Macaca fascicularis: one gene and its partner. The protein of the gene in region 1 interacts with the protein of each later gene in a pairwise test. Links are inferred from orthologs where the notes say so. Each region holds a gene or a part of one and is shown in the gene's direction. Other genes may lie near its edges. The genes, in order: GLP1R and CD81.

Region 1 (4,476 bases):
GGAATAAAGGGTGCTTTTTCCAGCCTCCTTTGCAGCTAGGAGTGCCTACGTGACTAAGTTCTGACCAAGGGGTGTAGAATTGATGGCTGCCACTTTCAAGACATGTCTTTATGGGTGGAGGTGCACCCATCTCCTTCCCATTCCTCCTTCCTGCTGGTTGGAATTTGGATATCATGGCCGGAGTAGCCACCTTGGATCATTAGGTGGAAACCTTGGAGCAGAGGATGGTGGAAGCTAGAAGATCCAGGCACCCTGATGATCAGGGAGCCACCACTCCAACCTTGGGCTGAACCTCTGGCCTTGCTTGACATGAGAGAGCCCTTGGTTATGCCATTGTTATTTGGGGTGGGATTTTCTGTCACTCCCAGCTGAACAACCTAATAATCCTAAGTGATACGTAGAAGGTCCCTGCTAGACCGACCTCTTGGGACGGGAGGGAATAAATGAGTCTCAGGTGGTGGAACCAGAGCTTGCTGGAGAGGAGGGTCTCTCCTGCTGAATGGAAGCCAGGGGCCCCTCCCACAGGCTGTCTCCCTCCCTGGGCTCAGACAGGTCCAGCCTTCCTCAGGACTTTGAGAAGTTCAGTTCTCTCCCCAGGACTAGCTATTCTCACAAACTTCCTGTCCCTTTAGTCGACATGCCCCACGGCAGGTCCAAGGCTGGGCACCGCCACAACTCACCTTTCCTAAGAGTGGCATCAAGGTTCTTTGGTGGGGGATCCTCTTTTCCCATCCCCACTTCTCAAGAGCATTAGGGAAGATACAGTCAGTGCCCTCTTAGTGTTCTCTTTCCACTTGTTGGGTATAAGAAGGGAACCTGAGGGCCCTGCCGTGTTTAGGGGTGGGAGTGGAAACAGAGGCAGGAAAAATCCAGAGTCCCCAAAAAGCGAAGCAGGGAGACAGATAGAGAAGGCAGGAACAACCATGGGCACACGTTATCACACATACACAGGTTACAAGAGCAGGAGGCTGGAGCGGCAAGAGGTGGCAGGGAAGCTTCCAGAAAGGCAGATTCCAGCCTCATACCTCCCTGCCCTGCAATGCTGAAGTTCCCAGGTAGAGGGGAACCTCTAGACCCTTCCGACTGTCAGGGCTCTGTGGATCCATTTGTCCCCCTCTCCCCACCCCCAACCTTGACTATCCCGGGCCTGCCTTCAGGACAGAGCCTGGGAATGAGGAGAGGACCTGGGAAGGGGTAACCCTGGGGAAAAAAAGTTCTTATTAGTCACCCCTGGCTCTGGGGATACTTTCCAGGAGTGGCCTGCCAAGCCGTGTGACCTTGGACAAGTCCCGTCCACTCTTCGGGCCTCAGTTTCCTTTGACGGACCTTGAATGGGCGGGGGTTGCTGTGGCTTTCTTCAGCTGGGAGACCAGGGAGGAGGTCCGGGGTGCCAGGGTGGGAGGCGGGCCCGGCTTGTCGCTGAAAGCCGGCCAGGCGCACTGTCGGCGCTCAGAGCTGGTGGCCGCCTCCTGCGCTTTCTGATCCCCAGCCGCGCTCGCTTGGAGCGCAGTGCCCACTATCTCCTGGCCCGGGACCGGCCAAGGGGTGCGGCGGGGCGGGCCCAGGGGTCTCTGGCGGCCGGGACGGAAGAACCAGGACCCTACCAGGCCCCTCCCGCCGGCAGGGCGGCCCCTCGCCGGCTCCTCCCCCGCCGCCCGCCACCCGCCCGGAATCAGTCGCCTCACGCGGTTCCGCAGGTGGCAGCGATGGCCCAGTCCTGAACTCCCCGCCATGGCCGGCACCCCCGGCCCGCTGCGCCTCGCGCTCCTGCTGCTCGGGGTGGTGGGCAGGGCCGGCCCCCGCCCCCAGGTGAGACCCAGGGACCCCGACGACACCGGGGGAGGGGGTGGCGCTGCGGGCTGCAGGCGCAGTGTCCTGGCGGGGGGCCCCGGGACTTGAATGAAACTCCGAGACCGCTGGCGGGGGCATCCGAAAGCCTCGGGGGGAGTAGGGACTGGAGAGTTTGTGCCCTTGGGCTGGAAGGCCCAGGTGAGGGCTTGAACCACAGAGGATTCCCCCAACCCCAGCGGGACGCCCTCTTCCTGGCCGCCAGGGTCCCTCTGCCAGGGCACCCGCTGCCCCGCGGCCGCCCTGCGCTGACTTCTGCCCCGCTTCTCCTTCCTCCCTGCCACTTTCCCAACTCCTTCTAAACCGTGTCAGTGGCCCTGGCACAGCCTGGCATCCTCCTAGACTCCCTCCGCCCCACAGTCTGCCCCAGACCCCTCTCCCGCAGTGCCTCCCCAGGCAATCCACCTGCTCAAAGACCCTGAGAAGGCCCTATGAAGGCTGAGAGCGCCAGGGTGCGGAGACCGGGCTCCTCTCCCTTTCTCGTCAGCCCCCAGCACAGCCTTTGATTCATGGCCCCTGGGACCCTGCGGTGGCAGCTTGTCCTTCCCAGTGACCTCCCAGATGGAACCTACCCCCGTCCCCTTCCAGCCTCTGTAGCAAACAGGCAGAAGGCTCAGTGCCCCCTCTGGAAGCAGCTAACCCACCGCCCCACCCCACCCACTCTGCTGACCTCCCATTCTGACCCTACACTGACAACAGGCACCAAGAGAACGCATGCTGGGACACGCAGGAACACCTGGGCTCCTTGGTGCCACCAGAGAGCAGGCCACAGGTGGACATCTGTAGCCCCTCTCTCCTGTCTTTGCTGCCTTTCCTGCCCCAGGCTCCTGGGCTGGGGGCAGTGGTCAGCTGCTTTTGAAGAGGGGAGCTGTCCAAAGATGCTGGGACATGCTTGAACAGAGAGGAGACATAGACTTGGGTGGCCTGTCCTGGGTCAGGAAACAGGTTCTTCCCATCACCTCCCACTGCTACCGCCAGACCTAAAAAACTGAGATCCGTGGGGAGTGGACCTAGACGAACCTTGAAGTTTGTCCCAGAACCATTGCCTTGGTGAGGGCAGACTCCACCCCAGCTGAAACCCCAGATGTGGACAGACGTGCCTCTCAGCTGAGGGGCCAGCACATTTTCAGCCCCCAGATTCTTTTCCAGATGCATCCTCTCCTTGCCCCTGTTCCCCAGCCCACCTGCTGCCCTGAGCCCCAGGAGACACCCACTCCCTTCCAAGGCACCTTCCCCACAGCGCCCCCAGCCAGGCCTTGGTTTTCCTGGTGTGGTTGGGATCTTTCAGGGGTCAGGGCTGCAGACCCAAGACATGGTTCTTGCCCATCCTTCCCTCCTCTTATGGACTGGGTTGGGGTAGGGGTGGAGGCTCTGCTTCCTGGTCCCATCCTGCTCTAGGCCAGGTTTACAGATCTGGTTTGAATGAAGGGAAGAAAGCATAGGGAAGAGGAAACTTTCTGTGAACTGTCTTCCCAGAGGCCTTATTCCCAGAAGTGTCAGGCTCCTGAACCCGCACTTCCCTCTGATCCAATGTTACTCCTTAGCCCCAGGCCTAGGGCAAAAGCTGGGCAACCTGGGGGCATAACACAATTGGGGTGGTAGAGAAGGATAGGAGGGGACAGGTCCTAGCTGGGACGGGAGCCTTGAGGGGGTGCTCTTGTCATGGGAAACTGAGCTGCCACGGAGATCTGAGTTACAGGGGGTGTTAAGGATAGATGCAATAATTATGACACAACATCATGCATGCTTATAGGACTAAAAAATAGTGTATTTTGCATTTTGTTTTCTGCCTATGAAGTCAGCAGGGTTAGAGTTTCTCCCCTCGTGTTGCTGATGGGGGGATGAAAGCTCAGAAAAGAGGGTCCCTGTATAAAGTAGTCCAGCAGTTCAGGAGCAGGGAGGAGAAAGGGGTGAGGGGCTGGGCTCTTGATCTAATACCTCCTACTCAGATGGGACTGAAGGGAGAACTCGGAGAGTGAGCTGCTCACTGTCGGGTCTGCTGAGGCTGGAAGCAGCATCCCTGCAGGTAGGGGGATGGCTGAGTCGACTTCTGGAAAAGGTGCCCTAGGCCACTCTTTCATTGTTGCTGGGAAACCTCACTCCCCTACCCTGGTCCTTACCTGTCCAAGACCCCGGAGAGGGAGTGGGCCTACTGAGGAGACAGGCAAGCCTTTGGCACTCAAAGTTAAAATCAGAACTGGATTCAAATATAGAGACTGCTATTAGCTGGTGATCTTGAGTTGCATATTTGATTATCCCCAGTCTGTGTCCTCATCTGTAAATAGGGATCATAAACTCTATCACACAGGGTTATGGAGGGGATGGACACTGGCACCCTGAAATGGCAGCTTTAGTCACTTTAGTCAAATGGGGGAACTGACCCATTTGTCCTTGGGGATTTGGAAGTGTTTTCCAGGGCTGCAGGATAGGACTGAGAGGGGCTCTTGGAGACCCTGGGTCTCTGTACTCTAGTGAATGGTGGATGGAGTCCAGGGCTGAGCGTTGGTCAGAGTGGACATTGTTCTAATCTGGGCTTCCTTCTGGACAGAACCCAGGCTGGGGGCTGGGGCAGGAGCAACCAAGAAACCACATCCTGCCCTCGAATGCCCTGCACCAAGGCAAAACAGG
Region 2 (4,250 bases), on another chromosome or scaffold:
AGCCTCCCGAGTAGCTGGGACTACAGGCGCCCACAACTGCGCCCGGCTAATTTTTTTGTATTTTTAGTAGAGACGGGGTTTCACCGTGGTCTCGATCTCCTGACCTTGTGATCCGCCCGCCTCGGCCTCCCAAAGTGCTGGGATTACAGGCGTGAGCCACCGCGCCCGGCCGTGAATTTAAATTACAATGAAACGCAATGAAAAATTCGGTTCCTTGTGGCCACATTTCCAGTACCCAGTAGTCATTTGTGCCAGGGGTTATCCAGCTACAGAACATTCCCATCATTGCAGAAGGTTCTATCAGTTAGCACTGGATTGGACGACATTTGCTAAGACGAGCTAGCTAGAGCACGGTTCTCCGGACCTGGTTCCACATGGTTCCCAGGTAAGCTCCCGCCCACGACGCAGCCCTGTTGTCCATCAATTTTCTTGGAGAGGACATGGGAAACCTTTGTCGGTGTGTCATCTCCTGCGAAGGCCTTCACTCCTTCCTCTGGGCAGGAAGCACCCCTCACTCTGAATCATTAGCCCAAAGCAGTAAGTGCAGCGGGCCTGGCCCCACACCTACAGGAAGAGCCACAGCGTGAGGCTGGCATCCCTGGGGCACGACACAACCAGGATGTGGATGAAATAGATGCAATATCTGGAGGTTCTCTTATAGGTGGCTCTGGCCTCCTGGACACTTCACACTGGTCTGGGAGCTGCCCTCTCAGGGCCCAGTGACCTTTTCAGATGCAGACTCCTGCAGCATGGGTCAGCAATTCTTCCCTTCCATGGGACAGGGATTGGTTGCCTGTACTTGAGGCCAACACTGACTAGGGGGCCTCATGCCTGCCCCGTTCCAGCCCCGGAGAGCAATGTGAGCAAACCCTCCTGTCTCTGCAAAGCCAACCACTGTGGCATCACCTCCTTTAGGGAGCCCTCCCAGATTGTCCAAGGTGCTCACCTCCTTTGGGGAGCCCTCCCAGATTGTCCAAGGTGCTTGAGGGAGGGAGGAATAGGTTGTTCTCCCGGCACCGGGCCTGCACTCCTGGGTAGACGCTGCATGCCCGTCCTCAGGCGCGGCCCTGCTGCCACCCCCTCGGGGGCTCGGAGCGCGACAGCAGCTTAGGGACGCCTCCCGCGCCCAGCACGGTGCACCCGGGCCCTGAGGTCCTGGCCGAAACGCGCCAAGTTGGGGGTAGGTGCAGCGCCCCCATACCCCTCCGATGCGCGCCCTGGCGACGGGAGGCGGGGCCGGAGGCGGGGCGCGAGCTGGCCGGGGCGGGGCCTACGGGGGGCGGGACCGAGGCGTCCTATAAGTGGTGCTGAGCGCGGCGCGCGCCCGGCCACAGAGCGAGCGCGCAGCGGCGGAGATAGCGGCGACCCCACCGCGCATCCGGCCAGGCCTCCGGCGCCCCGCGCCCCCCGCGCCCCTGCGCCCCCGCGCCCCGTTCTTCGCACCGAGGCCCCTAGGCCCGCCAGGCCCCCTTGCCGGCTGCCCGCCAGGCCCCGCGCCGGCCCGCCCGCCTCCCAGGACCGGCCCGCGCCCCGCAGGCCGCCCGCCGCCCGCGTCGCCATGGGAGTGGAGGGGTGTACCAAGTGCATCAAGTACCTGCTCTTCGTCTTCAATTTCGTCTTCTGGGTAAGGGCTGGGCCGGGGGCCAGGGCGGGAGGGGACGGGCACACACCCCACCTCGGGCAGGTCCCGCGGCCGCGTGCTAGGCCCCGCGGGCGCAGCGCGGGCCGCGAAGTTGTGGGGCCACCTGTGGGCTCCAGGAGCGGGGTGGGGGGTCGCCCGGGGCCGCCGCGCCCCCCAACTTTGGGGCTGAGGGCTGCGAGCCGAGTTTCGGGGCCTCTGTGCGCGGGGGCCCAGCTCTGCGGCCGGGCCGGGGCTTCTGGGGGCCGCCGGGCAGTTCCCGCTAAGTGATAGTGATGGGTGCGGTGGGCGCGGGCCGGGACCCGAGTACCCGGCCGCCCCTCAGCTGAGGAGGGGCCTGCGCGGGTCCCTGGCCGCGGATTCCGGACTGCTGCTTCGCGGGGACGAAGGGGGGGCTCGCGGGCGGGACTCCTGGCGCCCCGCCCCCATGAGCTCATCAAGGGCCGCCGCCCCTGGATGGTGGGGCGGGGGCGCACACTTTGCCCGAGGTTGGGGGCGATCGCCTCACTCTCTCCCCAGCCCAGCTAACTCGCCAGTCTGCTGTCACCACCCGGGACCTTCCCGGGGGTCGCGCCTAAAAGGATGTCACCGCTGGGATGGCCCAAAAGCTGGGGTGCGCGCACCCTGGCTGTCCTGTCTGGGGGCCGATCTCCCTCTCCTCACCCAGACACGTTCCAGCCTAGGCCTCCTCCCAGAAGGGCTCTGGAGGCCTTGCAGGAGTGGGGTCCCGCGGTTCTGAGTTGGCACAAGGAAGAGAGTGGCACCAGGGGCCTGGAGTGGATGGCAGGGTCTGGGAGTGGGGCCGCTGCTTTGGAAAGAGGGGCCCCCACGCTGGGCATCTTTGGGTGCCAACGTGGGTGGAGGAGGGTCTCCTGCTGAGAATGGCTTTCTCCTGACCGCAGTCTTTGCTGCTGGGAAGTGACTGATGGGCTTTCGCCTTTTGTTTCCATTTCCTGTCAGTGTTGGAATTGGGGAGGGGGTGGAAATCCCTTCTTGGCCTGGAAGGACTGGAGTGGGTGTCCATGATGGTGACCTCCCCGCGGCCACGCCCCTGGGCAGACACCGCAAGCCCCTCCCCGTGTCCCCCCAGGCTGTCACCCCCTTCTCGTGGAAGACTCGGCTGATGTCCCAGTGGAGCGAGTGTTTCTCAAGTTGAGGCAGGGAGGGCAAACTTTTAAAATGGCCCCGGAGCCAGTGTGTGGGACCAGAGACATCTGTTTCCCATCTGGACTGTGAGGATCCCAGTGCGGATCTGGGGCAGGGAGATTGTTTGGACGGGGAAGGACAGAGGCTGAACTGAACTCTCAGCTGGGAGAGGAGTGGGGCGGTCACATCCCACCTTCCCCAAGACCGACTGTTCTGCACAGTCTGCTTGGGACACTGGTGGGAGTCACTGTAGCCTTTGGCTCTGCCCTGGCAGTGGGGGCAGCGAGGCCATCTGGGAGGGGCTTGCCCTCCCCAGGCACAGCCCTGGCACCTCGGCCGTTGCTTAGTGGTGGCCTGCTTCAGCCCAGGCATGTGGGAGAGGCACGGGACACAGGATGTCCCTCTGCCGGCCCCTGGAGCCCCATCCCCTGATGAGGAGAGTGTGGGCCTGGGGGCGGGGGCTGAAGGGGAGTCAGGGAAGGGGACTTCTCTGGAGGTGGATTTTTGCTCTCTGGACGATGCGTCACCGCTGGGTCACCGCTGGGTGAGTCCCTCCTGCCTGCCCAGGCTGAGAGGTGTCCCTGGCAGTCCCCCGGGAGTGTCGCCACGGCGGGCCTGGAAGTTTCCCAGGCAGCTGGGGTGGAGACCTGACGCATCCCAGGGATGCTTGTTATTAAGGCTCGAGGAAATGTCTCCAAGGCCTCACCACTCCTCTCCCCAGGGCCCGCTCCCCGCAAAGCATTGAGAACTGAGTCCGTTCACAGTCACTGTGGACCCACCCATCCACTGGGGCTCTGTTGTAGCCAGGAATGCCAGGCTGGGTGAGGTGAGGTTGGTGGGCACCACCCTGGTGGACCCCCCTCCACCGTGGTGTCGCAGGGTGTGTGGCTGAGAGCACAGTGCCATGGGCTTGGGCCTCCCTCAGTGGAGTCCCCACCACACTGCCCTGGTCCTGGGCCTTGGCCTCCCCCGTCTGCAGTGGGGGCCCTCAATGAGCCTGCCTCCTGGCGTTGTTGGTGGATTCACTGACATGCCTGAGTGTTGACAGGGGGCTTGGTACAGGAAGGGCTCAGGGTGTGGGGGTTGGCCAAGGGTCCAAAGGGACCCCTGCCTCAGAGAACCCAGCCCAGGCAGGCAGGATGTGCAGTGGGGAAGGGGCTGCAGGAACCCTGCAGGGCCCAGAGGGACTCAGTGCAGTCCCGTGGGCTCAGGGGAGGCTGGTGGGGAGGAGGTTGACAATGTGTGTCTGGATGGGGCGCTTGTTAAAAGTTCCATTTTAGAGAGGAAAAAGGCCTTGCCTGTGGGAGAAGGCAGCTGGGGTAGCCTGACCTCTTTCACAGAAAGGAGCCCCCCCACACACGCACAGGCACTCACACACACGAATGTGCACACACCCTCACTCCCACCTGCACACACACTCACACTCTTGCTGTCTCACTTCCCGAGCCAAGGTGCGAGGGGGAGG

Evidence for each region.
Region 2: the proteins of GLP1R (region 1) and CD81 interact in a protein complementation assay, tested with the Homo sapiens proteins (2 studies listed by BioGRID). The link is inferred for Macaca fascicularis from reciprocal best matches to the Homo sapiens genes GLP1R and CD81.

What each region holds. Positions count from the first base shown.
Region 1 is NC_088378.1:132,564,644-132,569,119, reverse strand, and holds the start of GLP1R (glucagon-like peptide 1 receptor), read left to right. Parts: upstream 1-1,660; 5' UTR 1,661-1,731; coding exon 1,732-1,809; intron 1,810-4,476.
Region 2 is NC_088388.1:2,296,968-2,301,217, forward strand, and holds the start of CD81 (CD81 antigen), read left to right. Parts: upstream 1-1,326; 5' UTR 1,327-1,558; coding exon 1,559-1,624; intron 1,625-4,250. UniProt on the Homo sapiens protein: Structural component of specialized membrane microdomains known as tetraspanin-enriched microdomains (TERMs), which act as platforms for receptor clustering and signaling.